Linked DNA regions of Mytilus edulis. The protein of the gene in region 2 binds, or shares a complex with, the protein of the main gene of each other region. Links are inferred from orthologs where the notes say so. Each region holds a gene or a part of one and is shown on either strand. Other genes may lie near its edges.

The links.
Region 1: vacuolar protein sorting-associated protein 54-like (region 2) and vacuolar protein sorting-associated protein 52 homolog share a complex: the UniProt entries of both Caenorhabditis elegans proteins name them as parts of the golgi-associated retrograde protein (GARP) complex. The link is inferred for Mytilus edulis from reciprocal best matches to the Caenorhabditis elegans genes vps-54 and vps-52.

What each region holds. Positions count from the first base shown.
Region 1 is NC_092345.1:52,793,113-52,810,460, forward strand, and holds the start of vacuolar protein sorting-associated protein 52 homolog, read right to left. Parts: upstream 9,418-17,348; 5' UTR 9,403-9,417; coding exon 9,391-9,402; intron 9,323-9,390; coding exon of another isoform or gene 9,320-9,322; exon of another isoform or gene 9,130-9,319; intron 8,010-9,129; coding exon 7,925-8,009; intron 7,448-7,924; coding exon 7,395-7,447; intron 6,928-7,394; coding exon 6,852-6,927; intron 4,292-6,851; coding exon 4,224-4,291; intron 2,731-4,223; coding exon 2,617-2,730; intron 1-2,616. Other genes in the region: small ribosomal subunit protein uS13, read left to right, coding at 9,447-9,458, 10,020-10,118, 11,407-11,493, 12,494-12,687, 14,621-14,696. UniProt on the Caenorhabditis elegans protein: Acts as a component of the GARP complex that is involved in retrograde transport from early and late endosomes to the trans-Golgi network (TGN). The GARP complex facilitates tethering as well as SNARE complex assembly at the Golgi.
Region 2 is NC_092346.1:48,260,522-48,277,861, forward strand, and holds the start of vacuolar protein sorting-associated protein 54-like, read right to left. Parts: upstream 9,163-17,340; 5' UTR 9,012-9,162; coding exon 8,759-9,011; intron 7,728-8,758; coding exon 7,441-7,727; intron 6,996-7,440; coding exon 6,923-6,995; intron 6,426-6,922; coding exon 6,391-6,425; intron 5,348-6,390; coding exon 5,219-5,347; intron 2,854-5,218; coding exon 2,711-2,853; intron 1,766-2,710; coding exon 1,666-1,765; intron 534-1,665; coding exon 391-533; intron 1-390. UniProt on the Caenorhabditis elegans protein: Acts as a component of the GARP complex that is involved in retrograde transport from early and late endosomes to the trans-Golgi network (TGN). The GARP complex facilitates tethering as well as SNARE complex assembly at the Golgi.

The DNA.
Region 1 (17,348 bases), on a different chromosome or scaffold from region 2:
GAAAGATAACTCCAATTGAAAATTTCTTGCTATTGCACAATATTGTGCAATTAGATATTTCTTGCTATTGCGCAATACTGTGCAATTGAAAATATTTGCTATTGCACAATACTGTGCAATTGAATATTTCTTGCTATTGCGCAATACTGTGCAATTGAAAATTTCTTGCTATTGCACAATACTGTGCAATTGAAGATTTCTTGCTATTGCTGAATACTGTGCAATTGAAAATTTCTTGCTATTGCACAATACTTAATATAATAATTTTGGATCCTGATTTGAACCAACTTGAAAACTGGGTCCATAATCAAAAATCTAAGTACAAGTCATTTTTAGATTCAGCATATCAAAAAAGCCCAAGAATTCATTTTTTGTTAAAATCAAACTTAGTTTAATTTTGGACCCTTTGGACTTTAATGTAGACCAATTTGAAAACGGGACCAAAAATTAAGAATCTACATACACAGTTAGATTTGGCATATCAAAGAACCCCAATTATTCAATTTTTGATGAAATCAAACAAAGTTTAATTTTGGACCCCGATTTGGACCAACTTGAAAACTGGACCAATAATCAAAAATCTAAGTACATTTTTATATTCAGCATATCAAAGAACCCCAAGGATTCAATTTTTGTTAAAATCAAACTAAGTTTAATTTTGGACCCTTTGGACCTTAATGTAGACCAATTTGAAAACGGGACCAAAACTTAAAAATCTACATACACAGTTAGATTCGGTATATCAAAGAACCCCAATTATTCAATTTTTGATGAAATCAAACAAAGTTCAATTTTGGACCCTTTGGGCCCCTTATTCCTAAACTGTTGGGACCAAAACTCCCAAAATCAAACCCAACCTTCCTTTTATAGTCATAAACCTTGTGTTTAAATTACATAGATTTCTATTTACTTATACTAAAGTTATGGTGCGAAAACCAAGAATAATGCTTATTTGGGCCCCTTTTTGGCCCCTAATTCCTAAACTGTTGGGACATCAACTCTCAAAATCAATCCCAACCTTGCTTTTGTGGTCATAAACCTTGTGTTTACATTTCATTGATTTCTATTTACTTATACTAAAGTTATTGTGCGAAAACCAAGAATAATGCTTATTTGGGCCCTTTTTTGGCCCCTAATTCCTAAACTGTTGGAACCAAACATCACAAAATCAATCCCAACCTTCCTTTTGTGGTCATAAACCTTGTGTCAAAATTTCATAGATTTTTATTTACTTAAACTAAAGTTATAGTGCAAAAACCAAGAAAATGCTTATTTGGGCCCTTTTTGGCCCCTATTTCCTAAAATATTGGGACCAAAACTCCCAAAATCAATCCCAACCTTTCTTTTGTGGTCATAAACCTTGTGTTAAAATTTCATAGATTTCTATTCACTTTTACTAAAGTTAGAGTGCGAAAACTAAAAGTATTCGGACGACGACGACGACGCAGACGATGACGCCAACATCATACCAATATACGACCAAAACATTTTCAATTTTTGCGGTCATATAAAAATGAGGTCAAGGACAACAGAAATAAGACATTATCTATATTTACGATTATACATTACTGTGTGGACCTCCAAAATACAAAATATTTGCTATGATTTATGAACATGAGACTAGTGTCAGGTTTTTTTAAATTGTATGTCTTACAAGGAGACTTACTAGCACATGTGAATTATAAACAGTGTTTATCTTATCAAATTTCAACCCAAATTTTGCCTAGACTCAATCACAAAAGCATTTCAAAAGTGTTATACCTTCAAATTCAGTGAACAGATTTAATCCTTAAATCAGTGCCTTTGTAAGATCAACTTTTAAAACTAAATATGCTAAAGATAAATTGTGGTCAAGATGACAGCTGATTTTGATGTGGTGACTAACTCCTCCCTTTTTCCCTCAAATACTGTGGATTCATTTATTTTCATGGGTATCAATTTTTAGTGGATTAAGGAAAATTTGTATTTTTGTGGACATTAAATTTCTTCATTTCCAAAAGTCACTATACACGTAATCCACGAAAATTGGTACCCAAAAAATAATAATAAATCCAAAGTACTGCTCCTGAAAACTATTTTCTTTGATAATCTGTCTTGTGATTGAAGTTTTATATTCATAGTAATATAGACAACTTTCGAGTTCGATGCATTTCCGTCAAAAACTCTTATGTTAGTGAACGTCATTTGTGTGCTTAGGGGCATCGTCACATCCATTCCAATGTTGAGAGAGTGGTTGGAAATTTATAATTCTATATTGTACAAATTATTCTGCAAATTGAATTCTCAAAATTGAAAATCGGCACTGCTGTCATTAGGGAATTTTCATTAAGTACCTACAAAACAACCATTATTTCTAGTTTATCCTGCACAATGATGATCACTAAGACGCTTGATGAACGTAAATAGTGCAGGGATAGGCGACCCCCTCAATCTGGTAAATGACGTCATAAAGGCCTGTATAATTGACGAGTTTTTACCGTGACAAATGAACTCGAAAGTGGTCTATTGTTCAGCATGCAATCATTCCACTATTTCTCCTGCTACTTTTTATTGTCAAAGAGCTACTCTGCAAACTATTTAAAATCCTACAATTGTTTATGATAATTATCAGATTACCTGTCTATTTTTAAGTTTTACATTCATGGTAACTGACTGTTCTTGTAAAGTCTGTATTTCTGTACTAATACTACTCAAATCACCCTGGAAACCATTTAACATTTGTTCCATTCTCTGAAAATGTAATTACAATTGTTGTGTAAAATTATCCATTAACCACAGGTAAGAAAACCTATTTTATCAGAGTTCACGAAAAGTGTCAGTCCTCAGGATTTCACCACCAAAATTTTGCATAGGACTGGCACAATTTTAGTATTTTTCAATAGATTAATAGTGAGGACCAGCAGATTTTCTTCAAGGACCAACAGGGGAAAAAAGATTTCGCAAACTCTGATTTATTATACAGTAGTAAACTTGACCTTATGAGCACAGTTCTCATTGAGAGTAGGAATTAACAGAGCTGCACTCTTTTAAAGTTGACCATAAATGTCTGAAACATGTATATTCCCTTAAATGATAGAAAGTTACCATAATACATGTAGTTAACAAATTGTGACACTGTGCTTAGCTTAGTGAATTATATCTAAATTGGTTTTTGATAGGGTCTTTAATTCAATTTTTGGAGAAAATAATATATCATATATAATTACCCGGTATATGAATAAAATGTATGTGATTTTTATAGAATGAAGATAATAACATCTGTCTGAACTTTTTAATGTTTCATTTTAGTATATAAAAATGTTTTTTTGTTAAATGATGTATTGTTTTATGTGTACATGTTATGCTGCCCATCAAGGGCCCTTGATTGGAATAATAAATATTCTTATTGAATGAATGAATGAATTCTTTATTTGCAAAGCAGTAGTAACATGCTATAGCAACACAAACATATTTACATTGTGAAACACAATAAACAACAGAAAACAATATAATTAGATATTACAATAGACAAATGATCAACTTATTAGATGTGATCTACAATGTAATCTGCCAGGCAGATTTCAAATAATTACATAGTTTTCCAACTAAAGATCTAGATTTTGTTTGATACAAATACACAATTTTGTCACATTTGGCCACGAACAGTAATAATTTGGTAAAAACTGTAGCCATACATGTCTATACACAGGACACACTAAAGTAAAATGGTACCTATCTTCAACAATTTTCATATTACAGCAAGTACATATGATAATCTGTTTTCTCTTAGTATATTTGTATAATGCCCTACCTCAACATTTAACTTCATAGTACCACTATGTAGCTTTGTGAATATAATCTACGTAATCTTCAAAACAAAAATATAATTTTAAAATTCTGTACATAGTAAGTTTCTCACAATCCTGTATAGATGCAAACCAGCTTTGGATATATTGATCTTTTAACCTAGTTTTTATTACATCTAATGATATATTTATACCAGACTGCTGGTACCATACCAAGTTTAAACCAATACTAAACAATAGGTCTCGGACATTAGAAACCCACTAGTTTTACCAGTATTTGCATCTCTACTTATTCTTATATTCTTATTCTTATTCTATATATAAAGTAGTTTATTCTATTACCATATAGTTAATTCTATTACATTGTAGTTCATTCTATTACAATGTAGTTTATTCTATTACAATGTAGTTAATACTCTTTACAGTTAAATAGCTTACCTCTAAAATGGTATCACAGGCAGATATCTGTTTGTGTAAATTTGCTATGTCCTCACCCTTCTTAAGGTCTTATTAGTGTTAAGGTCAATGATGGAAGTTTAAAAAAGAAATTCTCGTTCAACTGTTTACAAAATCAATATGGCTTAAACTTATATAAATGGGGAATGTGTCCATGGGACACAGATGATGCCCCCACTGCTTATAAGATTTTAAAGAGACAATACTCAACAAATGAATAAGTGACACTACCCAATTTAAACTTAACCTGTGTTTTGTGGTAATAAGCATTGTGAATAAGTTTCTTAACATTTGCTAGAGGTAAACTTAAGTTAGAGAACAAAACTAAAAAAATTAGCAATTTTTCCAATTGTAAAAGGACATAACTCAGTAAAAGTGAGGCCAACAAAATTTAAACTTGATCTATGTTTAGTGGTAATAAGCATTGCATATAAGTTTCATAATATTTATTTGAAGTGAACTAAAGTTAGAAAAAGGAACAAAAAAATTCAGCAATTTTTCCATTTATAAAGGGGCATAACTTTAGAATAGTAAAAGTGATGCCACCAAAATTCAAACATAAACTGTGTTTTTTTTGTAATAAGTATTGTGTATAAGTTTCATTTCATTTGGTTGAGGCAAACTAAAGTTAGAGAACAGAAATGAAAATTCAGCAATAGTCCATTTGTAAATGGGCATAAATTTATAACTCTAGACTGGTGAAAGTGGCACAACCCAAATTCAGACTTGATCTGTGTTTTGTGGTGTTAAATAAAATTGAGAATGCAAATGGGGAATGTGCCAGAGAGACAACAACCAGACCAAAGAGTAAACCAGATACTCCGCAGGGCGCAGCTTTATACGACCGCAGAGGTTGAACCCTGAATGGTTGGGGCAAGTATGGACACAACATTCAAGCTGGATTCAGCTCTGAATTTGGATTGTGATTAAATAGTTGACACAACAAAGGTTTCTGACACATAATGAATGTGGTCTCAGAACTTAAAACTTAAAAATTTTAAATTTTAAATCGGACATTACCTATTATGGTCCAATATCCAAAATCAAAATACATGATTAGATTCAGCATATCAAAGAACCCAAGAATTCAATTTTTGATGAAATCAAATAGAGTTCAATTTTGGACCCTTTAGACCTCAATGTGGACCAATTTGATAACCGGGCCCAAACATCAAAAATCCAAATACATGGTTAGATTAAGCATATATCAAAGAACCCCAAATATACAATTTTTGTTGAAATTAAACAAAGTTTAATTTTGGACCCCAATTTGGACCAACTTGAACACTGGACCTATAATCAAAAATCTAAATACATGTTAAGATTCAGCATATTAAAGAACCCCAAGGATTCAATTTTTATTGATATCAAACAAAGTTTAATTTTGGACCACAATTTGGACCAACTTGAAAACTGGGCCCATAATAAAAAATCTAAGTACATGTTTAGATTCAGCATATCAAAGAACCCCAAGAATTAAATTTTTGTTGAAATCAAACAAAGTTTAATTTTGGACCCCGATTTGGACCAACTAGTAACTGGGCCAATAATCAAAAATCTAAGTACATGTTTAGATTCAGCATATCAAAGAACCCCAAGAATTCAATTTTTGTTAAAATCAAACTTAGTTTAATTTTGGACCCTTTCGACCTTAATGTAGATTAATTTGGAAACGGGACCAAAAATTAAGAATCTACATACACAGTAAGATTTGGCATATCAAAGAACCCCAATTATTCAATTTTTGAGGAAATCAAACAAAGTTTAATTTTGAACCCTTTGGTCCCCTTATTCCTAAACTGTGGGGACCAAAACTCCCAAAATCAATCCCAACCTTCCTTTTATGGTCATAAACCTTGTGTTTAAATTTCATAGATTTCTATTTACTTATACTAAAGTTATTGTGTAAAAAAAACCAAGAAAAATGCTTATTTGGGCCCCCTTTTGGGCCTTAATTCCTAAACTGTTGGGACCAAAACTCCCAAAATCAATCACAACCTTCCTTTAGTGGTCATAAACCTTGTGTTTAAATTTCATTGATTTATATTTACTTATACTAAAGTTATTGTGCAAAAACCAAGAATAATGCTTATTTGGGCCCTTTTTTGGCCCCTAATTCCTAAACTGTTAGGACCAAAACTCCCAAAATCAATCCCAACCTTCCTTTTGTGGTCACAAACCTTGTGTCAAAATTTCATAGATTTCTATTTACTAAAACTAAAGTTATAGCGCAAAAACCAAGAAAATGCTTATTTGGGCCCTTTTTGGCCCCTAATTCCCAAACTGTTGGGACCAAAACTTCCAAAATCAACTCCAACCTTCCTGTTGTGGTCATGAACCTTGTGTTTAAATTTCATAGATTTCTATTCACTTATACTAAAGTTATAGTGCGAAAACCAAAAGTCTTTGGATGCCGATGATGACACCAACGTGATACCAATATAAGACCAAAAAATTTTCAATGTTTGCGGTCGTATAAAAACAGCCAAAAGCCACCAATAGGCATTAAACCCACCAAGAAAATAAAATGCATTCTTAAACACAGTTAAATGATATTAGGTCACTATTTATAACTATGATTGTTTAACCTAGGTTTTTCAGTATGGATACAGTCTTGTATTGATTGATTTTCTACACCTAGGAGTTCCTTCTCTACATTTTTGGAATACTGTCTTAAATCCACTCCCTGAAAAAAAATATGTGAGAATCATGTTACTTTTATAATTAGATACAAAAAGATGTGGTATGGGTGCCAATGAGACAACTCTATCTCCATCCGAGTCACAGTTTGTAAAAGTCAAATGTTTTTTTTTATACAATATTTTTAAAATTCAAGTTGCATTGTATTTATTTCATGCATTAAACTGAAGACTTTCAAAGGTTAAAATGGTTAATGATGTTTATTTTCATTCATTGGATTGAAATAATCAATGATCACTGATTGTGAAGACTCCAAATTAAAGAAAGCAATTAAAGCTTAACTATTTATAAAAGATGTTTGTTTTGCGTAACCCGAGTTGTTTGTTTCTGTCTAATTGATGATTACCTAAATCCTTTATGTGTATGCTTAACTATTTAATTGTTATTTTATACTATAAACATCTACGCATATTTACAATGACCACATTACAATCATTACATGAATATACATACAGTGTTCAGGGCTTCTTTGACAATTTCATCTTCTAGATTCTGTTGTATGTGTACTGTAATAAAAAGAAAGAATTTCCTACACACAGACATATTCAACATAGATACTACAGCAGATTGTGTCTATCACATCTGATTATTAACAAACACTTGCATTCAACTAATTACCTATATGTATCTTCCAAATAATCACATTTGAGTATATATAACAAACACTTATAAATTTTCTTTATTGTAACATCTCTACAACTAGATAAGCTGTCAGCAGAACTTGCTAACTGCCTCCAATTTCTTAAATGCTTACAATATGGCAAATTTATGCTGCATTTTTGTGGATATTGGATTTCACAGTTTTGCCCAAGTCGGCATAAATTCTAATGGACATTTTTTCAAATGTTTGACATTGGAATTCCTGGTTCCAACCAAATTAATAAAGAAATTGGTCTCCAAGACTCCAATGAATAATAATAAATCCATAGTAGACATTTCTTTCCATTCAAATACTGATAAATTCTACATTTTGTAGCTCTTACCATCAACCTCATCAAGCCAGTAATCTTCAGATGTAATATCTAGCTCACCAAGGTTTAAATCCATAGTGTCATGGGAATCCATGATCTGTAAATAAATAAGACATATAATGTTTATGTGAAAATGGTTTCATTCTTTAAAAACATTCCATCATCAAAAATAATCAAGCTTTTAACATGTTTAATGGAAAATTTACTGTTTAAGAATGCAATAGCAAACACACAGCCAAGAGCACAGAACTGAACACTTTGATTCTGAATAAATGTTACCAGTAACCTAGATGATGTACTACAAGATTGTGTTTGTTTTTAACAAACAAAAATTTAAACTGTGTCTCTCTAAAAAAAAATGTACATCCTGAAAATAAGTTAAAAAAAAGGTAAAGTAATTAAAATCTGGAGAATATCAAATGAATTTTTAGAACCTGTTAAAAACTGGTCTTTAATTTCAAGAACTGGTCATACATGTACATGTAGCTATTGAGTTCATGTGCTGCAGTGCATCCCCTGATATTCTTTTTTTGTTGTTGCCTTGAGTCCACTACAAACCTCAGACTGACAGAAGACCAAACATTCTTTCAATATAAAGAATATTATTGCTATATTCATAAATAATCAGTTCCTTACCCAACCATGTATTCTGGTAATTAGACTCCAATGTAACAATAACTTTTTAAATATTTTAAATTGCAATGTAACCAGAGCAAGTGCCTAATAAAAACATAATCAACATAGTTGTTTTATACTATCTAAAGAAAATATTTTTCAAAGGCCTTTTTTATTTTTTTTTAACATACACCTTTTACATTAATAAAAATCATAAACATTTATGAATTACAATTAATATATATCTTTATTCTTATTCCTTATAAATAAATATATTTTTTATTGGGGCCGGATCGACTTTACATATGGGCCGGATCAAAGTGGGGACGGATCGACGTGGGACAGATCGACTTGGGCCGGATCGACGTGGGGCAGGATCGACCCGAAAGTCTATTGTCTCATAAATAATCAATTTTACTACAGCTATGTTAGTATATTTAATGAGATAATTGAACAATTTAGCTAAGTTAAGTCGTAACCACTTTATCTTTTTATTGTATTGCTGAAGTGGTACATGACCAAAACGACCAAGGCAGTTCTGAGAACCGACACAGTTTTTTTTTATAGTCAGTGATATTTTAAGAATAACTATAGTAATATACCCATGTAATTCGCTGAATGTACAAGTAAAATTGTGTGATAAAGTTATGTTTCGACTGTAACTGGACAAAATAAGCAATAAACTGTCCAAGGGATTATATCTTGTAAATTTTAACTGTCAGAATGTATCACTGGCAAGAAAATTATCTCCCTTCATTTGTTACTACTTCCTTTTCCGGTTAAATCTTCAACATGGTTAGTTAGATAGTGCTAAATATCTGAAATATATCCATCCTTATTCGAATAATTTGAAATCATCCTACCCTATTTTTCATAAGAATAGCATCATAAATTATTAAATAATGTCTTTTGCGAATAAATGGTGCACAGGGTATATGCAGAGAGATCCTATTATGGATATAAATGGGGGTCCTCTAGTTCGGGACAAACGACGTTAAAACAAGTTGAAGCCCTGAAAAATAAAACTCCAGATAAAACACGACGAATCCGAATAAGTATGCTTTTTCTCTAAAGGTTTATTGTGATTTAATTCAATTGAACCAACCCAATTTAGATTCGAAAGATAATAATATATCCATGTAACATAGTTTATAGCCTATAGGAAGGCTGATGTTCTATATCTTGTTCTTTACATTGATGAAAGTCTTACCACCTTGCAGAAATATGTGTCCCACGGGTTGTGTTTGGTTCAACTTTTAAAAAAATAAGATCTATGAGTTTCAGAAGTTGTCCCATTTTCAACCCATTTTGATTATTTGGGTGAATGTTAACTAGGTCAATATTGGATCTAAAATGTCATTTTATTATTGAATTATTTTATGTATCTGTTTAGTTGCATCGATAGTGTTAAATATATTTTTATCTGTTTTGTAATAACAGTTTATCAAAATTAAATGTTTTAAACATAAATGTCTGATTTATATTTTTTTAGGCATTGATACTGCCAGAGAAGTTTCAACACATTCTTCGTATTATGAATACGAATATTGATGGTCGCAGGAACATAATGTTCGCAATGACTGCCATCAAGGTAAGCTTAAGGATGACTGATAATTTTGATAATATATAATAGACTAGTTTTAATGCTCCACAAAACTGCAAGACAAAAATAGATACTGAAAAGCCCTCTGAGACTTGCATGTAGCATGAAATAATTTTGTATTTAAAATATCTTTTTAACCAAATTTTTCTGTTCTTATTATACACTGATGAGTGATTAAATATCTCTTTGAAAACTTTTGTATATCAATATGGTAAATAAGCATTGTTCTTTATTTTTCCGATGGATTCAATTTCAATATCTTTACATATAAATGCTTTTCATAAACTATATTATTGCATAGCAATATAATATTTCCAACAGAAAGTAACCAAAAGTTAGCGTGCAATAAATTCCAATATTGCACTAATGCATTAAATCTTCAAAATTCATGACGTCATCAACGACATAATCATAGTTTAAGGTTCATCATAACAAACGGACAAATATGGCTGTATTTACATGCCAAAAATTACTCTGAGTACAGACTTACCTGTAAAGTTGGAAAAGTTTTAATGCCTAGCATCCACTAGATATGAAAAAGTTAAATCCATTTTGTGTTTCAGAAAGATAAAATTTCTTTTGGATTTTGATGGGCATTTTTTTTCCTTCATGCAAAAGGTGTGAAAATTGACTAAGTTGTGGAACAACTATGAGATGCTCCCTCAGGTAAAAAACCGGTTTGTATTGTTTTCATTGTCCTTAATTGACATGGACAACAGGTATCTTGACATCTATAGGTGAGTTAAAGAGTTTATCTGAGTCAGTGAGTGGACAGTATCAAAGTAATGCAGGTGTTTGTTTATTTTTGCACCTTCTGAAGAAAGGAAAAAAATGCCCAGCAAAAACCAAGAAAGATTTTATCTTTCTTAAACACAAAATGCATTTAACTTTTATATATCTAGTGGATGCTAGGCATTAAAACTTTTCAAACAGCACAGGTAAGTCTGTACACAGAGTAGTTTTTGAGGTAAAAATACGGCCATATATGTCCATTTGTTATGATGAACCTTAAACTAAGTTTTACTTTCAAATATTATATTGCTATACAATAAAAGGGTTATTGCATGAATATTGGGGAATATTGTCCCTCGTAGAACATATATTGCACTCGCAAGCTCGTGCAATATAAAGTTCTACTCGGGACAATATTCCCCAATATTCATGCAATAACCCTATAATACTGTACTAAATGAACTGATACTTATAATCTTGTAAAGAGTTGGATCAAAGATACATTACTTATGAATAAGATAATATTGGTGTTTTATTGTTTCAGGGTATTGGTAGACGTTATGCCAATGTTGTTTGTAAAAAGGCTGATGTTGACATTACCAAGAGAGCAGGAGAACTCAGTGAAGAAGAGGTTTGTTATAATTAAATACATAATTAAATGGAAAGACCTAAATATATAAAAGTTATGTAGTTTATGTTTCAGAAAATTGGGAACTTGTCTAGATTTGGAAGTGCATTTTTTTCCAGTCTGTAGAAGAAAGCGAAAGAAACAAACACACACAAGTTTCATTTGATACGGTCCAGCAAAATAAAGTTAAACAAACACTGTTTACACACCAGTTTCATTTGATTCGATCTCAGTACTCAGAATGAAATTTATGGTGAAAATACGGTCATATTTAAATTCCTGAAAAAAATCGTTTCCAATCCAGATCCGTATCTTACTATGCCCAAACAATCAAAATGGCTGCTCCCAGCACAAATGTGCTACAATTAAGGTTTAAAAAACGTCGGCATAGGGAGGAGAAGTCAATTATAGCTTCTTTAAAGAGATCAACTCATTTTGGGGGACAAGACCCTAACCAAACATGACATTGAACCGCCTGCAAATCTGACAGGGAGTGCAAAAAATAGAACAAAAAACCTACCGACCCTGAATTATTCGCCTTGGCAGCAGGAAACGGACATATATGTTTTTGGCCTTATTAGCAAAATGGTTATAACGAACCTTGAATGGTTTGTGCTTTTACCCCTAACTTTTGTTTGTGTAGAAACTGAAAAAAATGTTTTTTATGTAATGAAACAACGGCTTGAACCTGTATAAATTAGCATCAACATTTACAAACAAAATTAACATGCATCTACAAAATTTATATGAATTAAACCCATTAGGGTTATGAAGAAAACACCATGTTGTTCTGCACTCTGTTTGTATAGAGACAGTTGCATTGAAATGTAAATAGTTCAAAGGGGTATGCCACCCATTTTTAGGTGTTGGATAATTAATTATCCATGTTTGCACTTATCTGTCTCCATTGATCAGATAGGGATTATTATAGTTCTATTACAGTTATTTTGAAATTCTCCTTTTGAAAAAAATGATTTGCATTATTGTGTTTTCCACCTTGTAGATTGAAAAGGTCATCACCATCATGTCCAATCCAAGACAGTACAAAATCCCTGATTGGTTCCTCAACAGACAAAAGGATGTCAAGGATGGAAAATTCAGCCAGGTTATGTCCAATGCCCTGGATAACAAACTTAGAGAGGATTTAGAAAGACTGAAGAAAATCAGAAATCATAGAGGACTTCGACACTACTGGGGGTAAGCGCTACAAATTCTTGTTAAATACTCCCTTAGATAGCAGCAATTCTTTAATAACTTGCTATATGAGTCTTTAAAGGCATCAACCTAGAGTCTAGAAATAGTAATACTTTTGGAGGATTAGATAAAGAAGTTTATTATTATTGCCTACAAATATAAGCTGGTTTAAATTCAAGTTGAAAAAAAATATTTGTTATGCCATGCCTTAGTCATTATAGATCCCTCTTTCTGATAGCAACACAGTCAGATTCATTTGTAAGTGTCTGTTGAAGTTTGTTTGCCCCCACTGCAGCAGAGGGTCATTAAGATTTATGATAATACGATTACCATTTTAGTTGTCTCAACCAATATTTATGAAACTGGTACAAAATGCTTATTACCACAATTTGACAAAACACAGATCAAGTTTAGTTTGGGTCAGACTTGGGGTCAATTACATTGGAATGTAATTAATTAAATTACACATTACATTGCAAAAATGGTCAATTACACTAATTACACATTACACAGTTTTTGAAATGTAATTAATTAAATTACAATTACTTTACTAAAGTAATTAATTAAATTACACATTACATTTCATCATGATATTTTTTAGCAAATAATTTACATGTTTATATAATGCATGTGTAAAATTTTCATGTAAGCAGAGTTTAAGCGTTGCATTTGATAATCATTTAATATAGTTATTTTAATGTTTTGTCAATTATTCTGAATCTCTTTGGTCTAAAAACAGCAATTGTACATAGTCTATTTTAATGTTTTGTCAATTATTCTGAATCTCTCTGGTCTGAAAACAGCAATTGTACATAGTCTTTCGACAGGAGCTAATATGGTAAAAGATATTGTTTGATCAGGACATGGAAGTTTTTCGATTAGAAGATCATTATATTGATAGGAGAGGGAATTTGTTCCTATTAACTTGCTAATACATCAAGGGGTATTTTGACATCTCAGAAATGAACTCATTTGAATTAAACATAATATGAATAAGGAAATTATAAATAAATTTAAAATATTTTTTTATTTTACTTTAAAAATATAAAAAAGTGCTTGTCACAATATTGAAAATAATTTTTAGTACAAACAATGTATATAATGTCTCAATATTAGCAATATTTTGCTAATTAGATAAAATATCTGTAATAGTGGCATTGCCTCTGGACATTTTAATCTGATTAATTGCTGTTTGTTTTTACAGCTGTTAATTTTTATTTCTATAATCCTTTTGTGTATACTAATTTGACAAAATGATTGTATGCAGTGATTTTAAATTCTAAATGAACTGTCTCAGAAAGATGTTTCACAGTGACACATTTTATTGTTTTTGTTTAACAAGGTGCTTATTACTTATTAATCTATTTAGTTAAAGATCTTTCTTAAAAACTGAACAACCCTAATATATATGATTATCACATTTTTTAAATTATAAGACTATTAAAAAAAAATCTGTAGGTCAAATAAAATATATAAAAACTTAAGAAAAAATTACAGACTTCATATATTAAAAAAGCATTGATATTAATATTTGAAAAATATATATAATTTTACAAATTATATTATAAAACACAAATCCTTAACTGTAACGCCATAAAAGTACATGTAATTGAAATGTAATTCAAAAGTAATTGAGCATTACATGCTTTTTTCAATGTAATTAATTAAATTACCATTACATGTAATTAAAAAAATGCTCAATTACACATTACATTCAATTACATGGAAAATTGTAATGCATTACACTTAATTACCATTACATTTTTAATTACCCCATCCCTGGTTTGGGTTGTGTCACTTTTACAGTATCATCTGTGTCTCGTGGACACAATTCTCCATTTGTTAATTGCTGTATTTGATGCCCAAGAAAAATCCTACATTCTATATCATGCGTACGGAATGGGTTATAGTGATTACATATTTTGTCTATTTTCAGATTGAGAGTCAGAGGTCAACATACAAAGACCACAGGAAGACGTGGAAGAACTGTTGGTGTAGCCAAGAAGAAGTAAAATTGTTAATAAAGGCAGTGAAAGGACTTACTTGTTGCAATATCTTTTATCCATGGCATGTGGATTGTCCAAAATTTGTCTTACATTTATATGTTTGAATACATTGTTTACATTTACTGGTTTGCAGGATGCAAAAGCTAGATTTAAAACAGATACATCTAAAAAAAAAAAATATCAGCTTTCCAACTTCTTTTTTACCTGGCCTATATTTTTTTGTGATAGAAAAGTTGTTCTATTTATGTTTTATTTACGTTTTATTTACAATCTATGGGATGTCAGTATATTGTACCAGTATTCCTCACATACTCATAACATGCAAACACAAGTTTGACATGATACTTTAATGTAAGCTTTGGGACCCACAGGAATATTGTGTCACATGACCTCCGGTGCATATTATTTTTTTTTGGTGGTTGAATTCTAAGGAAAACCCAAATTGTCATTTCTGCCTTCTGGTCAAAACAAAATTAGGGGGAAAATCTATAAGCTATCATTTTGATTGTCGAGTCTGGGATTTCTGTTGCTAAATGCATGACATAGGGTCAGAAGGTTGAAAATCCTTGATACTTTGTATATAGATGCCTTATGTTATGAAGTTTCCTTCGGTCATATGTCCATTGTCATTGACCTCATTTTCTTGGTTCATTGACGACTTGAAAAAAAGTTAAAAATTTAATTATTCCTAATTTCACTCTTATGATTAATCATATTTTGCAAGGTCTGCATGCCTGTCAGACAGTTTTTACTTGAACTCTTCCTTATTTCATGGATCTGAACAAGGTTAAGTTTTTGTCGAGTCCATATCTCAAGATACTATTCTATTAGCAAAAGGTCAACTATTATAGTATATTTTGTGTTTGAAATGACTGTATAAAGGTGTACATGTCCAACTGGCAGGTGTCTTCTGACATTGAACTCATTTAAATGGTTAAGTTTTTGTGTTTTGGTCTATTTTTCTAATGTATGCAATTGGTCAACTATATTTGGCATATGAAAATATTTTAGGATATACATGTCAGTCAAGTATGGTTTATTTGACATTGACATCAAATTAACTATTCATTGCATAATGTTGAGTTATTGGTCTTTTTCTAAAACTTAGGTCAAATTTATTTGGTGCATGGAATGATTGTAAGATGCATATGTCTGTCTGGCAATTGTCAGCACACCATGACCTCATTTTCATTTTTCATTAAGTTTCATGGTTAAGTTTGTTCCTTTTATAATATACGCAATAGGTCAACTATATTTAGATAAAACAAGTACACACCCGTGATACCGCGGGTCCGTGACTGACTTAAAGTATATATAACTATGCCTAAGCCTTATTTTAGTAATTGGTATTGTCATCTGATAAAAGTCATGTCGATTATGAGATACACAGGTTTTTTTGCTTTCAAATCTTTCTGTTTGAACCCGTCGACCTGGAACTTATCAATTATTGGTAATATTAATTATTTGGAAAACAAAAGGTCCTGGCTATCTAGGAATGGAGTATTTTCAGCCATTTGATTATGACCCGTGTATATAGCAAAATCCTAAATACACCGTTTGGTGGTGCGCCTGTCAAATGCGGAACGTACAGATAAGGTAATAGCTAACAGGTGAATATACTATTGGTATCGGTATCGGATTCGACCCGGAACTTGTTAATTATTGGCAATATTAATTATGTGGAAAACAAAAGGGTCTGGAGTGGTGTAATTTTTAATCTACACCATTGTCCTATATCAATTCTATATAGAGTTGAATTCTTTGATTTGTCGTTTTTACCTGATGACGGCTGACAAATTGGACCTCGTAATTTTAGTATTATAGATACAAATGAAACTGAGCTACTGCTCACTGATGATACCCCTGCCACAAGTGTGTTAAAATATGCAAGTGTTCGTTAAACAGGAAGTTGTTTAGTGATGAATCTGAAAATGCATCACACGGTATAGCTGACTTGTATAAATCCTGAAACCAAATTTCAGAAATCCTTGTATTGTAGTTCCTGAGAAAAATGTGACGAATATTTTCAACTTGGTTATCATGTGTAAAATAGTACAAGGTTTGGATGGACTGACGGACAGACAGAGTTAAAACAGTATACCCCCTTTTTTCAAAGCAGGGGTATAATAAGAAGATGTGGTATGAGACAACTCTCCATCCAAGTCACAATTTATAAAAGTAAACTGATATAGGAAAAAGTATGGTCTTCAACATAGAGACTTGGCTCACACTGAACAAGCTATTAAGGGCCCGAAAAATTACTAGTGTAAAAATATTCAAACAGGAACACAATGGTCTAATCTATTTAATAAAAAAAACCACTTATAAACCACATCAATAAACAACCACTGAACATCAGGTTCCTAGGTCCAAACAATTGCAATGAGTTTAAACGTTATAGGTACCAACCTTCACTCTTACCTGAAACAACAGTTACACATCAAAACAAAGAAAGACACGCCCTAAAATATCAATTGAGATGGCTTAACTCAAATAAAAGACATAAACACTAACAAGAGAACATAACATTGAACAAACAAATTTGATTTATGTGATGATGTAGTTTCAAAATCAATAAAATATAACCAAGATGTTATACAATATCAAAAAGACAACCATAACCTTCAACAAAATGCCGCCACATAAAATAATGAAAAT
Region 2 (17,340 bases):
GGGAATTTTAGAAAAGAATTTTATAAATCAAGTCAGCAATGAAGCACTGACAACTGAGCTGAAAGTTGTTTTAAAAAATATTTCCTAAATTGAGTCATAAGTATAAGTATAAGTGATTGAAAATCTGTGAGATTCATTTGTTAGTATAATGGTTTTAAACAAACAACATTCATATGAGCCAGTTTGTATGAGCAAGTCTTCCATTTAACTCAAGTTAACATTCTAAACCCAGTGTTTTACTTTTTATAGTACTTTTATTTTTTTCAATTTAAACTTCAAATGTCATGTTGATGTAGATGTTGAATAATTTGACAATTTTCACTTTTCTAATTCAATTGAATGTTAAATTTTTTTCCCTTAATCATTTGTTAACATTGGAAATTTACGCACCTAAAACTATGGACCCCAGGAAGTTCCTGTGATAGCACTTCTTGTGTAGTGGATATTAAATCTAAGGCTCCTACAAACTCATTAGTAGATAACAATAACTGGATTGTAGGCTGGGTTTGGTGTACTGTAGCCATCATCTTCAACTGTATAAAACATTATCCAGTAAATATAACAAATTTAACAAACTTTAATACGGTGCATATTTGCTCATATGAGTTCTTATTCAATACATTGAAAATACATTTTGAATGTAAACAACAGAGATTTTTTTAGCCAAAATGTTTATATGCCCATTTATGGGCATTATGTTTTCTGATCTGTGCATCTGTTTGTTCGTTCGTCTGTCCGTCCTTTAAAAAAAATATCTTATCTTTGTGATCTTTGTTATTTTAAGTTTAATCATATGTTGATGAATTCAATAACCGTAAGTTATTATATTCGGTAACTTGTGAACCACTATCATATCAAACAACACTGTCATAATATCACTTTTCAAATTAATAGGGCAACAACAACAAAATAGCACAGAACTACTGTAAAAATATATTCACATCAGATGCATACAATTGAAAATGAGTTCTACTTTGTAGTATGTATTTTTTAAGCAGGCACAATGTGGTGGCGTAATGTGGAACAAAGTCTATCCAAATCATTTTTGTCAACAATCCCACTCAAGACCTTACTAGAGCAGTCTTAAACTGACAGTGAGGTACCATTATTTTACTCTGTATTGCATATCTCCCTGTGACTTAGGAGATAACTGTATTGTATTTTAAGCTTCGACGGCATCAATAGGGGATTTGATGGTCGCAAATTAAGTTTACTGGCGACGCGTTGCGACCATCAAATCCCAAATTGATGCCGTCAAGGCTTAAAATACAATATTGTTATCTCCTTTCTAATGAAACTGACAGAAAACAACGTTAAAACATGTATTTAAAATCTGTCATATGCTGTCTGCGCTTGCGCGTACGTCCCATAGCATCAATTGTCAATTGATGCCATGTAAGAAAGTGACGTTATCCAATCAAAATGAACGTTACAAACGTTGTTGCATTAGAATTTGATATGTAGAACAGTAATAAAAGCGCTCTTCTTTTACTTTTTGTGTGTTTGTGCTGTGCATGTACTAATTTTGTGCCATAGATGGATTATACCCCATACCCTTTGTTTATCAATTAATTTATAAATTTTTATTATAAAAAGACTTAGGGACTACTAAAGACATGAGATCCATGATACCTTACTATTCAACTATGTATAATTCTTTCTTACCTTTTCATACAAATTTATATGATTCCGTCTTGCCTGCTGTAATTTTATTACTTTTAGTGATCCTTTGGCTAACACTTCATCTATCTGCTGTACTTTATGCCTGTCAAACATATATATTCATTATTATTACCTTGGTTGCAATGAATTACATTGATTTCCCAGTTAAATAAAAACCGATAATTTCACATGTGAAATAAACGTGGTTATTCCATTAGTTATTCTATAACTACAAGTGCTCACTAACCATAATTTCACCTTGCTTGTGCAGTATTTATTTTTTTCAACATACACAGCTGTTATCTCAAAATAATATAGTTTCAAGCAACACTATGTGTCAGGAAACAGATAAAGGATCAGCTGTAGACTAAAATACATTAATATAATATACAGAAAACTAACAAGATGTTTGACAGACTGAATATTAGATGTGTAAATACAACATGAAGGCCCATGTCTGTAGATACTAGTATATCACAATAATTCAGCCAACTAGAACAAATATAAAATGAATATGTAAGAAATAATTATCTGACAGTTTACAAAATAACCTTTCCAGATTTGCAAGCATTACAATAAAATTAGGAACAAGCTCAATTTTGTATTGAGCAGAGCAGTTAAATCCCTCCAATAGCTGTGATAGAATTTAATGCTATGTACATGTATTCATATATCATGTATATCAACTAGGACTGGGAGGTCTGTGTCTATATCACTGGTAAAGAAATGAGCAAAATAAATAAAGAGAATGATGTTCAGAAGAAATTTAAATATCCCATTAATAAACTACAGTGGACAATCCATAATGAGACAATTCAACCTGCAAGAATTCAAATAACCTGATCAATATCAACTTATTCCAATGGATGGTTGTATTTCCTTGATAAGATAACATACTACTTACCTGAGTTGTTTGATAGACTGACATGTTTTCATCATATCTTCTTGTAGTTTATCATGAGATGACATAGCTTACATGAGTTGTTTGATAGACTGACATGTTTTCATCATATCTTCTTGTAGTTTATCATGAGATGACATAGCTTACCTGAGTTGTTTGATAGACTGACATGTTTTCATCATATCTTCTTGTAGTTTATCATGAGATGACATAGCTTGAAAGAAGGCATCAGACTTGGTAGATATCTGTCTGGCTATATGAACTTCTATTATATCTAAATAATGACTTAGCTAAAAAAAACAAAAGAAACTGTCTCAATTCATTTATTCATAAAATCTTTATCAATAGTATCACTTCTATGTAATGATATATATAGTAATGGCTATAGGAGCTATAATCTAATTAAGAAATAATTCATGGGGGCTTGAGTATATCGTGATTTTACCACGGGTTGGCCCTTTATGACAAATATTTTACCCCTGAGCGATAGCGAGGGGTAAAATATCGGCATAAAGGGACAACCCGTGGTAAAATCTAGATATATTCAAGCCCCCATGAATTATTTCGATTCTGATAGGACACATACGGCAATTCTTTTGGATCGAAGCGCTCTAGGTGTAGGCAAATATTTGCCGTTCCCATAAATAAACGCACTAATAAACTAGCGTAAAAGAACGGAGCAAACTGCATTACATGTATAGTGACATGCTTAAACTATTTGAAATAATGTATTTAGACAGTTTTGGATGAATTTGAATGATAATTTATTTATATGTCTTATATGATGTACAATAAAGGGCTTTTGCCACATTTTAGCATCATTTGTGTATGTTTCCTTGTGATGATTTTCGGATTCACAAGCCTGTATTTTCCCGTAAAATGCTTACATTCTAACGTCATTGTTCTATGACGTCGGGTATCTCATTCATAAAAAAGCATATGACGTGGGAGTACAATCGGAACAGCACTGGCAGGGTTTCCCCTGGGTCAATTATTTTTTTCGCCACCTCTTTCGCCAAAACAATATATTTTTCGCCACTTTATTATTTTTTTCGCCAAGTAAGATATAACTATATTTTTCTTTAAAGATTTACCTTTTTTTCTTACACCCCACCCCCTTTTTCCCTTAAATGAGGTGATTTTGCCCAATTGTGTCTATGATTATTCTAGAGTCTACATTTAATGAATAAACACTAAACATTTACTTTAAAACAACAGATTTTGTTTTTAACATAAAAGGGGAAAATATTCATTGTATTTTAAACAACTTTTCTAAATGAGGGGGCCACTATACTTTTAATAATAAAGAAGATATAAGTCCTGGAATACAACAAAATTAATGGACAGGTTTTGATTATATAATACCAGTATAGTTCATAGGGAAAGTCTCTTTAAAAGAAAAATATTGATGTGCCCTTTAATTTTGTACTAAGAAGTGGTTTTTACAACAAAACAAAAGCTTTTATCACATGATATTTTGATCCCTCATTTCATGTGTAGTCATATTAACATTGAAGGGCTACTCTCATTCAAGGGGTTGTTCCCAACCTTTTGGATAGATTTCTTCATAACGGCAGGTTTCATTTTTTGACCATCGTAAATGAAAAAGTTGAGACGTAAAACTATGCTTGAAACACACGTGTCACTCAAACGACTTTAAAGTAGTCTCCCTTTAGAATCAAATACCTTTATTAAAGTCAAAGGATAATTAAAGTTTTAAATCGGAGATTTTTCTTGTTTTTGAAAATTTTTCGTCACAACAACAGCTATCTTTTCTAAACTATCTTTAAAAAGAGAGGAGACGTCAAAAGTTTGCTTCAAACACGTGCGTCGCAAAGTGGTAAATAAATTCTGTATGTGACATTTAGCGGAAGCCATTTAACCATATCATTTTGTCAAACAATTCAATCAACACCTTTATTAATTAGTCCTTTGTTGTCGATAGCTATAAAATGCAATCAGCTGATTATTGATTTTTTTGTCCAAATCTTAATGATGTCAAGGTGAATTCCGAGAATTGTCTGATAGGTAAAGTCTGAGAAACTCGAAAAAAGTAAATAAACAAGATGGAGGAAAATAAATCGTTCTATATATTTCTTTCGCCAAATTCTTTCGCAAATGACGAATTTTTATCGCCACAATTATTATTTTTTCGCAAATTGCGAAAATGGCGACCGCCAGCGGAAACCCTGAGCACTGGCAATATATTCATATTTTACCACGGGTGTGTACTCAAAGCGTTTGAAGGACGTCATGTTAGAATACTGCATTAAATTTTGCAAAGTGTATTTTGTTAATACTAATTAACAGCTCATGATGAATATTTGAGAAAGATTTTACTTCATGGGAGTCACTCTTTTTTGGAAACATTATGATAACATAATGAATAGAAAAAAATCCTTTATTAGTAATATGGATGAGCAGTGCCATGCCCTGTTTTGGACTTGTGAGTGACTAAGTGTCTTCTTATAAAGTCTTTATGAAAGGTTATACTATACATATACATTTTAGCAGCAGTCAGAACTGGACATTATTTTTTGTGAAAAATAGATTGTTTTGAATACCAAAATTAAAAAAAAAATATTGATAACCTTTCTACATTGGTCATGTTGGTTGTGTAAATGTTTGAAAATATTATATCATAACAAAATATACCTTTTCTTGCAGTAACTTTGAGGACTGGTGACCGGGTGAAGACTTTTTAGAATCTTCTATCATAGACCACGGAAATACAGAATTAAATGTATCTGTGTGTTCCAAATCAAAATTCTGTAACAGGTAAAGCTGAAACAAGACATAATACATAAATAAATATACACAACTGCAATGTATATTGAAATGTGTAAAATGAAACATATCAATCATACAGTATATACAAATTAATAATGTATTATCTGCATTTTCATACTAACAATTTTTGTTTTCAAGAGTTTTTGCCTAGTTTCTACAACTGAAAAATAAGAATTAATAGGAAGAACACTAATTAATGGCCCCATTGCTGTCTACATACATTCCTCAATTTCAAGCAGGCACAGTTCCTTTGTTTTTAGTTCAAATAAAGCAACAATCATTATATGTCAAAACAACTCTTATTGGTTTTTTGTACTGAAAAAACAACATACCATTAATGGCACATTAGAAAGAACTGGTTCAAAGAACTTTGAAGGTACCAAAAATAGGTACTTCAGATCTGACAAACAGTCAAAATGTATCCCTTTTTTAAATTTCATGCATTTTTTTTATTATTCAAAATCATAAGTCAAAAAGTGTTCTACAATGACCACCAGCCATTAAGTTTTCATTTGATACCAAAAGTACCTAAATATTCTACATATTTTGAAAGTCACACCCAAGTGTAGGAACTATTTTGTGTTAAAAATGTACTACTTTCTGGTATATGGTAACCAGGCCCAAACTAATGGTGTTAAAATAAATGGTGTAATTTAATTTTGGAACTGCTAATAAATCCATTTAAATGTGTTTTGTAAAATTTGTGACAAATAATTCAATAAATCTTGATTGCTGTTCATTCTTTTTAAGAACTATTACAATAATCATTCAATAAATCAATTTATCTTAAATTTAGAATTGAAATAATTAATTTTGCCAGAAAAAAAATGACAAGTAGTACATGTATAAGATAACATACAACCCTCAATAAAATAGTCAAATCAAGTGCATCCCATGTGATGTCAAGGCATATAACTCAATATGGATTTCATACAGATTATGATACATCATTCTCTTGAAAACCCTTCATTTATGCCTAATGCTGAAATGGGAGTCTTAGGAGAATACTAAGTCTAATAAAAAAAAGAGTGTCATACCTTTGGAATTTCTTGCAATTCTGATCTACTCTTTTCTGAAAAAACAACAACACATCTTCACATTTATAAAATATTTCATATAATAAAAAATAAAAAATTAAAAAAAAGTATTAATCCTGTCTAATGTCTGGTAAAAATAATCTTTAAGATATAAACAACCTTTATTTCAAATGGACCAAAAAAAACCAGTTGTTTTAGTTACTTAATATCTGTTTAATAAACTTTAAGACAAATATTTGCTTCTTAGTATATATGGAAATCTATTACCAGTACTTATATCTAAATTACAAAATTGACAATTATTCTTTGATATGATAGTCTGTACAGTCTATATTTATAAATTTTGGCAATTAGATTTCTAATGCTGTTCTGTTCATGTAAATCACCCTACATAAAACAAAAAAAATTATTTTAATGCATGTTTGAATTATCTTAGTTGTTTATAAAAATGCACAATAGACAGAAAAAAAGATTTTTTTTTTGTAACAAAATTATCGTATTATTATTTCTCACAGTCCATAAGTAACCTCACCTAACTGATGTAGGTATGTCTCACCACTAACTGAATCAGAATTACTTGTACTTCTGATGTACTTCTTGTATCGCTAAAATGTAACAGCAGAATTACAATAGTTATAATACATAAAACAATTGTAAATGTCTATGAACTCAAATTCAACAATATGACTGACTATTGATGAGAACTTCTCTTTTAAGTTATATAAAAGTATTTCTTATAAACCTAATAAAATTTCCACATCAGGTGGAAATATATCAGTAAGCTGTTAGCATGGTGAATTTTTTTTAATATAGTACCATATGGATAGGGACAAGATATATAAGAACATTTTATCATGTTTAATTTTTTTCCGGAGTCTGTTGGTTGGGTCTCATTAAGGTATACCCCACAAAGCTTTTTATACAATTTCTAATTTACATGTCATCTTATGAAACTACAATTTCAAGTTTCTGAGTGTCATTGTTTTCAAAATACATATAATTATTATTAGTCTTGAAGTACATTTAGTTCTTATCATACATCATATTTACTTTTGAAATCCTATTTTTATATTTCTCAAAATATTTTCTGCTGATATCTGGTATATAAGTTGATTTTGGAATATGTGAATGCTCATAAAAATCTTGTCCCCAGGTTTTAGTGAAGAAGTCAGTCTCTCTCTTTGTTCTATTGGGATCATTTAATGCTGCTGGTAGGTTAACTGTAGCATTGTATACTGTCCATCTTAACTGATCCTGTACAACTGATGGAGCATTGTCTGTCGCTGAAGGTGGTGGTGAAGCTTCATTATATTCAAGACTTCTGTTCCTACCATGTGCTAGAATTTAAAAAGGAAAACAAAATGTAGTGCAGATGTACATGTACATGAACTAATATTTCTAAATTGTTGAATACTGTAATTATTGTATAAAGTGAATTCTAATTCATAAAAACAAAACGTGTGACTTATTGATGGTGTTGTATTGATACAAACATGAAAAAGGCGAACATGGTTGAAAACAGTCTTAAGCTTGTTATTGATCAACAATTTTTTTAATAAAATACAAAGAAATATGAATTTCATTCTTTTTTTATATAAGGGCAAAAAATAAATTGATAATTTTTTTATTATATTGATAGATGAAGAAATTAAGCATTTATTGTAAGGAAAAAAGTGATTGTGTAGTTTTTATTAAATATTAAGAATATCTTTAAGATGATGTATGCATCTGTTTTCATCAAATCCCGTGATTTACAATATTTGGCCAACGTTCATTAAAAAAATTACGTCATCAGATAAAATTTGTTCTACTTAAGTCAAATTTATATTAGATTGAGATAAGTTTTGCTCTCATCCTTGGCAGTGTGCTTGGTTCAAATTCAGCTATATTTCGTAGCAGAAAATTTTTCCTTTATTTAAAATAAGCTATTTTTGGAAGGCATGCACGAAATCACCGGACATTGAAGGAACTCTCAGAACAGGGGTTTCTCTTATTTTGAACACACGTTGCACAAAATCTTGGGGGTGAAACCAAACAAACAGATAGTTTTATGAAATAAAAGTATGTTATGAATGTTTTCACACAATATTATCCATTTATTTGTTTTATCAGTTGAATGAAGTGAAGTCATAAGTCTTAGGTGCGCAGATACACCGGACTGCACCGTACCAGTATTGTGGACAATACTGGTATACCAGTATTGTGGACAATACTGGTATACCAGTATTGCGATCACCAATTACAGGAGATCCTTGTTCCCAACCTGTTCATTGGTATTGTAGAGCACAGCCTTTATTTGTAATTTTCCAATGTTATTTATCTTTTTTTGTGTGTTGGTTATGTTATAAAAGTAAACGGGAAAACCTACCATGCAAGTGCTTTCCTGCATGGTCTCTTGTTATATGATTTTCGTAGTCCATATCACTGACACCCTCTAGAGGTAGTGATGGACATATATTATTTGCTCCATATCTACAAACATATGATCCTCCTTCTTTTGTACAATGGCTTTGACGTAAATGACGACAAAAGTCTTTGGAAGATTTAAAGTCTACCAAACACAACCCGCATCGTCTCCAAGGTGAAATGTGTGCACCTTGTACATTATTTACAGTGGTCATTGCAGTCAATGTTACTTCATTTTCAATTAATGAAGTACAGTCTACATTATTTATAGGTTTATGTCCTAAAATGTGGATTAAATTGACATCGATTTGTTTTTCGGTTTCAGATTTTTGTTGTTGGACGTACTTCCGGTGAAATAAATTTAGAACCAATGACGGTAAAATATGTCTTAAACCCAAAAGAATAATTAAAAATATAGACAGCCACAACGGATCAATACCATATCTTTGCTATTGACAGTGGCTTTGGATGACGCCTGAATGTTTGACTTTGAGATGTAGTCCAGTCAAACTAAGATTTAACCTCAAACTAATTGCAACAGAAAATGTTTTAGTTCTAATCTATAGCAGTATGCCCTTTATACATGTATCCACAGAAAAAAGTCCCCGGCATACAATCTAACTTGAGGAAAACACAAAATCATCATTTTTTTTATTTCCTATGGAAATTAACATTGGAAAGGGAGATAACTCCTGCAAAATGAGTCTTTTTTGGTCAGTTTTGGGTTGTTTTTCTTGAAATTTATGTAAAGTATGATACTTTGAGGGGCCGGTTATAAGTTTGTATTTGACTAAATTATATAATCTTTTGCTCATGAAATGTATAAAACCGAAGTGTTATGGGTAGTTTTATTTTTTTCGTGCATTTTTCATCAAAGATATTGCAAATTTGAAGCTTTGTAACCATTTTGAAAAAAATAATGTGGAAATTTGGTATTGTTTATATCTGTATATTATATTTTTTCAGCAGCTTACTTATCTAAAGAAACTTTAAACCACAAAAAGAAGAATACATGCTTAATTATTTTTTTATTAAATTTGAGATTCTTTACCTTGACATGTTGAAAAATTCAATAAATGGTCATCTAATGAATTACGAAATCTAGATTATAGCTTGATAAAATATATGAAAACACGTTTAGAGTTGTTTGTTATACTCTAAAGACCGCTAAAAAATCAAGAATCAATACATTCTGATGAATAGAAGCAGTAAAGTTATAATTTTGTATCACTTTTTATTGATATTTCTGCCTTTTTTGCAAGAGTTATCCCCCTTTGCAATGCAAATCTCCATAGGAATTTTAAATGGTGATTTTTTAAGTCTACCTCAAGTTAAATTTTATGGGACTTTTTTCTGTGTGTATTTGGGATATAATGCTAAAGATTGAAACTTAAAAATCTTCTGTTGCAATTACTTTCGGGTTAGGGTCAAATTTATGTTAGATTGAAGGCTGGACTAATAATCATATGAAAATTCACGGAGATTCACAAGGAATGTATATCAACTTTAATAATTAAACTCACTATTTCCAGGGCTTTTATTTCCTATCAAGATTTCATTGATATAAGATTGTGCTGCTCACAAGGAACTGCAGTGGCTATTAAACAAACAAAGTGGTGAAGTTGAAGTTTTACGGACGCTTTCATGAAAAGGTTGACCGTTTCGGAATATCTGTTTCACTTTAACTTCAATTCCGCCCATTTCACAAAATGTCCCATGATCTATCTACTGATTAGACATATCAACGGGTTAGTACCTATACACGGGCAACACGACGGGTGCCACATATTGAGCAGGATTTGTATACCCCTTCCGGAGCACATGAGATTAATCCCAGTTTTTTGGTGCACCATTGTTTTTCTGTTTGTCCATTATTTTTAGTTGTCAGTATATGATTTTCGTCTTTTCAGTTTAACGGTCTCTTTGGTATCTGTTGCCTCTCTTTTCAATTATAATACATATTGCATGAAAACCTGCTGTGTTCTTAAAAACTGTTTTCCAATACTGTGGTTTTAACGTTGGATTTCTGTTTCATTGAAGTAGACGCATACATCTCTTTATTTTCATATTCTTGCAGTTCAACTACGCCAAGGTCGAGCATGTCGTTCCAGGGTGTTATGTCTTGAATTTTAAAATTTTGGTTTGCGAGAGCATGAAGCACCGTTATGCTTCAGTTGTTTATTCAAATAAAAGAAATAAGAACAAAAAGTGTGCAGTTTTCGAATTAGATTGTTCGTCTATGCATGCATATAGTTAAAACGTTCATGAAATCCTTAAGTAAAGATAATAGCAATATCTAGAAAAATGTAGTGAAATCGTCGTTAAGGTGTTATTGCCGCGAAAGTCCGTCTGTTTTAAACTTAATAGTAGGTCATGACAAATTAGAAAACATCACCTAGTAGAGGATGTTGGAAGATTTTAAGTATATCTAGAATGGTGCCCGTTTAAAAACTTAGATAATTTTTATACTGTTCAAAATCCTTGGCATATTAACTCCCTTGATTTATTGTATCTACTTGAATTTTTTTTTAGTCAAATGCAGAATAATTTCATAGTTATCTCCCATTGAACATGAAATGTTGATGTAAGGAAAGTTTGAAAAACAGCGTAAGCTATAAGGTGTATATGGATAGAAAACGCATTGAAGAGGGGTCTTTGATGGTAGAACTTTATTTAATCGGACTCAGCGTATCTACAATACTAAAATAACGAGGTCCAATTTGTCAGCCGTGATGTGGTAAAAACGGCAAATAAAAGAATTCATTTTTATATATATCCAATATAGGACAATGGTGTTGATTAAAAATTACACCACTCCAGACTTTTCTTTTTTTGCCAATAATTAACAAGTTCCGGGTCGAATCCGATACCGATACTAATAGTATATTCACCTGTTACCTATTACCTTATCTGTACGTCCCGCATCTAACAGGCGCACCACCAACGGTGTATTTCAGATTTTGCTATATAAACGGGTCGTAATCACAGGGTTGACACTACTGATTTCATTCATTGTCAAATTGTTTCTATTGTAGTATTTTAATCAGTAAGACTTTCTAAGATGACAGGTACAGTTTTCAATTTGTTAGCAGGCATGACTTAAAACAAGGAATCAAAGAATTCAACTTTATTAATAACTAATATAGGACAATGCTGTTAATTAAAAAAATACTCCATCCCAGGACCTTTTGTTTTCAAATAATTAATATTACCAATAATTGATAAGTTCAAGGTCGACGGGTTCAAACAGAAAGATTTAGAAAGCAGAGAAAACTGCGCGTCTTACAATCGGCATGACTTTATCAGATGACAATCCCAATACTAAAATAAGGCTTAAACATAGTTATATTCTTTAATTCAGTCACGGACCCGCGATTTCACGGGTGTGCTCTAGTAACCATTATGATTGTCATTCCATTAGAGAATTTGTCGAATCTATGAACACTTTTGAGTGTTTTTCTAGAATTTCAATGTTTGTTCATGTCTTTGAGATAATTTGTACAAATTTCAAACTATAACTCTATCCTTTAAACCTGTGTGTCCAGGTTTCAAACAAATTTTTACGATTTCCTATGTTCTGATTATCCCCCCCCCCCCAACAGTTATGATCATACTTACATTAAATATTTCATGAGGATTCCATATCATTGACAAATAACAATCACATTTTGTTTAGTTTCACAATACCGGGCAAACATCATTGATCGAACCTGAGTTCCATTATATTGTTACAACAATGCTGAAAAAATTAAAACAAAACAATCGAAAAGTTAAATTTGGTCGTTAATTTCATGGTTTTGGCAGTTATATTTTTCAATCTAAAAGGGTTGTATATAAGCTTCAACGTTATGTACACTTGCTTTAAGTTTTGTACGATTCAATTATAAATCGCTTCCAATTTTCATACAAGAAATGATTTGGTTGTACTGATAATTTTGTCGTCTTTTTTTCTTTTTTTCACAATTGCATTGTCAGTTTATTTTCGATAGGTTAGTATGACTAGGATATCGCTATATTTAATGAATGGCTTTTATTTTTTTTGAATTTATTGAACCATAAAATTAATTTTTGACTCTTCACATTTAATAATCCGCTTCGCGGATTATGTTAAATGTGAAGAGTCAAACATTAACGAAGCGGATTATTAAATGTGAAGAGTCAAAAATTAATTTTATGGGTTAATAAATTCAAAATAAATTATTGCCATTCATTATAAATAAATTTCTATCAAAAATAAGACTCAAAGAACTTTTTATATTATTCATATTAACAATAACAACGTACACACATGTTGGCGTATAAATATACAACGTCAGAGTGGGTGTGTCGCCATAAAAATTGACAACATTGAAAATAAAAGTAATACTTTTAACCAATCAAAGGACAGTAAATATACTATATGTATTTATTACTGTTAAAACGTTAATGTTTGATATATGAAACTGTTTTAATGATAATGTTATCACGGAAAGTGTTAGAAATATAGTTTTGACGTTAGAAAAGAAGTAGGACCATTCGCTTAAATTATTTCACTAAAAAAAAAACAACAATAAAATAATGTCAACAGTTTTGAAATAAAAGTGTATATTGTTCGAATCCCAAATGCTTGCAAAATGGATCAATTATTTGATTCGCCAAGCAAAGTTGTGCTTGAACAACTCTGTAGATTTATCAAAATTAGAATTGTAAAAGTCAGTCAACCAAGCTAATTTTCTTGTTTTTGAACATGTTCATTATTCACACATTCACATGATGTTTGTATCATATTATGTATGTTTTCATGTAGCTATGTTATAGTTTATCAGAATAAATATTTCGTTCATGTTCACTCATTGATACGCGATATTCTAAGAATATTTTACATATTTCAATAAATTCAAAATGTAATCCAAACGTGTTTAATGTTGCCTGAATTTACACGTTTTTCTGCATAGAAAATATGCCAGAATTAAGATTATGCTTCCTAGCTAGCCAATAATTTGAATGCAATATATCTGATTAGGACAAGCTTGAAATATTGTTAATTTGTGAAAAGCGTATTTTCCATTTCAAATTATTTACGTCACTTAATTTTTTTTATTTACAAAACACAGATCTTAATATAAAATTTCATAACAAGACAATACAATGCACACATTCTTTTGTGAACTTAACATTCCGGAAATGTTAACAGAAAATCCAGTCGTCCAGAAATATGATCAAGATAGATTTTCATTGTGGGTGCATGCTTACTATTAAATGCTAAACTGTAACCCTGTCGTGTTAGTTTGTTAGTTTGTAATATTTTAATGCGTTTCCCTCAGTTTTAGTTTGTTACCCCGATTTTGTTTTTTGTCCATGGATTTATGAGTTTTGAACAGCGGTATACTACTGTTGCCATTATTTAGCGGGCTCTGCATTATTGATATCTACGAATCATGTTTATTCCTATTCATATCATTTACCAAGATTTGCATTTATCCTATCTACAAACGTATAAATAATATTTTACTTCAAACAAGATGTAAACATTTCCATATATATGTAAAAAAGAAGATTAAGACACTATTGTATTATATGCTAACGGTTTGATTAACTTTGTTAAATGAAGCTTTTTTGACAACATATGAATTAATATGCATGTAAGGTTAAAAAAAAGTGAGCCACACGTGTAAAGTCTACGTTTTTGAAATTTGCATCTTTGCCAACTATAAGTCTACACCTAGATCTTGGACTTCAAAAGTTACAATGGATGTTAACGAAGCAAGCAACCATTCAATCAGAATTTAATTCCTGCCTGTAATTTTATGATTCAGTCACGAGTCAATATGTTCTCCAAATCCTCAGTTTTTCTATAAGGAAAAGATTATGACGGACTTTTTTTTACATGAAAGCTACCATGTTTCAATAATGAATTGAAAGTGATAAATACAACGAATACATAATTATTTCTACACATTTTAAAGTTGGGGAACATAAAATTGATAATGAAAATGGGTAATGCTTTATTTGAAAATGCCGGTACCAAGTCCGATATATGACAGTTGTTGTTCATTCGTTTGATGTGTTTTATCCTTTGATTTTGCCATTTGATTAGGGACTTTCCGTTTTGAATATTCCTCGGAGTTCAGTATTTTTGTGATTTTACTTTTTGCTGATATTAACTGCTTGACATGTGTTTGTTGGCACATTCACAATTACAAGGTATTAAAATTAATTTGTTTCATTCTATTCGCGTTTGCAAGTGTTATTCTCATAAATGGTGTCATCAACGGTAGCAGAAAAATACCCAAGGTATCTACTTCTTCCAATGCGTCATATAGTGCCAATGTTAAAACATAATCATTCAATTAATGTTAAGGTTGACGTACATAGATGACTATTGTTCTAAACATAGTTGCTATAACACAAGTGGTCTTATATAACACAAATAATAGACATGCGATTTACAATATTCATCAAACAAGGAAAGGATATTGATTAATTGATTGTATTTGATTACTGTCCAGTATCAAATAGTTGATACATATCAAGGACGACAATAGAGTCGAAGGCAACATGTAAACTAAAAGATTAAACACGAATTCTTAAATTCTCTAAGGTAATGGCAAGCTTAGAGAATAAATGTAAACACACTATTAGAGCGAATTCACCCCATCTAAAAATACAGTCTTACTGCGCATACAACAAATAGATCGATAAGACATACACAACTGAATTAATGAGAACAAAGTTAACATGTTTACTTATTCGAGAATAAAAAATGACACAGCCCACTTATTATAAAAAAAGGCGTTTTCTTTTAAAAAAGCAAAACTTGTTTTTGTATAATGTTTGGTGAATGTTTTGATTTTCTTCCAGTTGGTTAACCCTCTCACACTCTTTCCCCACTGGTAGATCCTGACATATCAACGTATAATTTCAGTATGTATGCTCAGCTGTTCTTGAATATGAGCTATCAGGTATCATCGAGGCAAATGGTTTAAAAGGATGAGTGCACACTTTTTGATAAACAAATGGTGTGCTGCAACGAAAACTCAACAAATCTGTCAGAGACAACTGCATTTTCCCCCCTTTAAAGCCAATTTACTTTTATTATAAGCTTAACTATATAATTATTTTTTTCTGATTGCTTTACAGTAGTATCATCATGAACTTGATAATGAATATTCAACTTTAATCAGCTCCAATCGAATGGCTGATACATTAATATATAAAATCAAAGAGCCCGATTTGATTCTGTTGATTTATTTTATTTCAAGAGTAACATGGTATATTGTTAATAGTGAACATGAAACATATATTTCAGCTATCTTTTCGTCATCTCTTTTTTTCTCTACCAGTTTTTTTGATAAATTTATTCATACTATGGTTTCGCAAAAAAAAAAATATATATATATAAAAAAAAATAAAAATTCAAAATTAATGAAGTTATAATTGTATGAGAAAAAATGAAAATCACCAAAAAACCCAACTCCGAGGAATATCCAAAATGGAAAGTCCCCTATAAAATGTCAAAATAAAAAGCTCAAACACACTAAGCGAATGGATAACAACCTGCATGATTTTATAGCTAGCTTAACCTCTCACTTTTCTGACAATCAAATAAAATTTCATTAAACTGACTGCGATGTGTGAAATAAACAAACAGGCATATAGATAAAACGTCAAAATAGGGAAACAACAGTCAACATTGTGGTATAATCTGAATTACTAAAACGCAAACAAAGAAACTCAAAAAGGCATATAAACAAAGAACACATGCAAAACTGAAAGTCAATAATACAAAAATTTAACATAGCACAATAACACAATTACGGGATATACAAGTACCGAGCCACGAGAAGGGGAGAAACAAGTAGAAAAATATTGCTTCAGTATTCGCAATAAGTGTTGAGAACTGTTAGCATACACGAATAAAAGTGATTTTTTTTATCTTGTTGATGTAAAACTTCATGCTAAATGCATATAGTAGAGGTATGCATATATCAGGCATATAGTAGAGATAGCCTGATAACATTAGAAAGACAGGTTGATATATAAAACAAAACAAATCAGCTGAAAAAAGTAACCAAATCTATCCCACAAAAAAGACCACAAAACAAATATAAACAGCTGAATAGTTAAAATGATATATCATTTGAAAGAGCGATGAATCATACCAAAAGGACATTCAAACTCGCTGGATGAAAATCGACTGATAACGCCATGGCGTAAAAAGTAAAATGACTAACAGACAAACAGTAGTACATAAAACACAACAAAGAAAGCTCAAGACTGAGCAACAAAAACCTAAACAACAACTGCGGGTGATCTTCAAGTGTTTTAAGTATTATAAATTAATTGTAGTATTATTGTTATATAACACCATAATAGATGCCTTACACAATGAAGAATGAAATACTAGATGAAATCCTTGGTCGAATGTAAACTGTATTGTTAATTTCCGCAAGGGTTTCATGTTCTATAATTTTAACAGGAAATATCAAAACAGGAAATATCAAACATACTAATGAAGTGAGAAAAAGTATGTTTAATTCCTTCACATCTAAGTATTTACTGTAG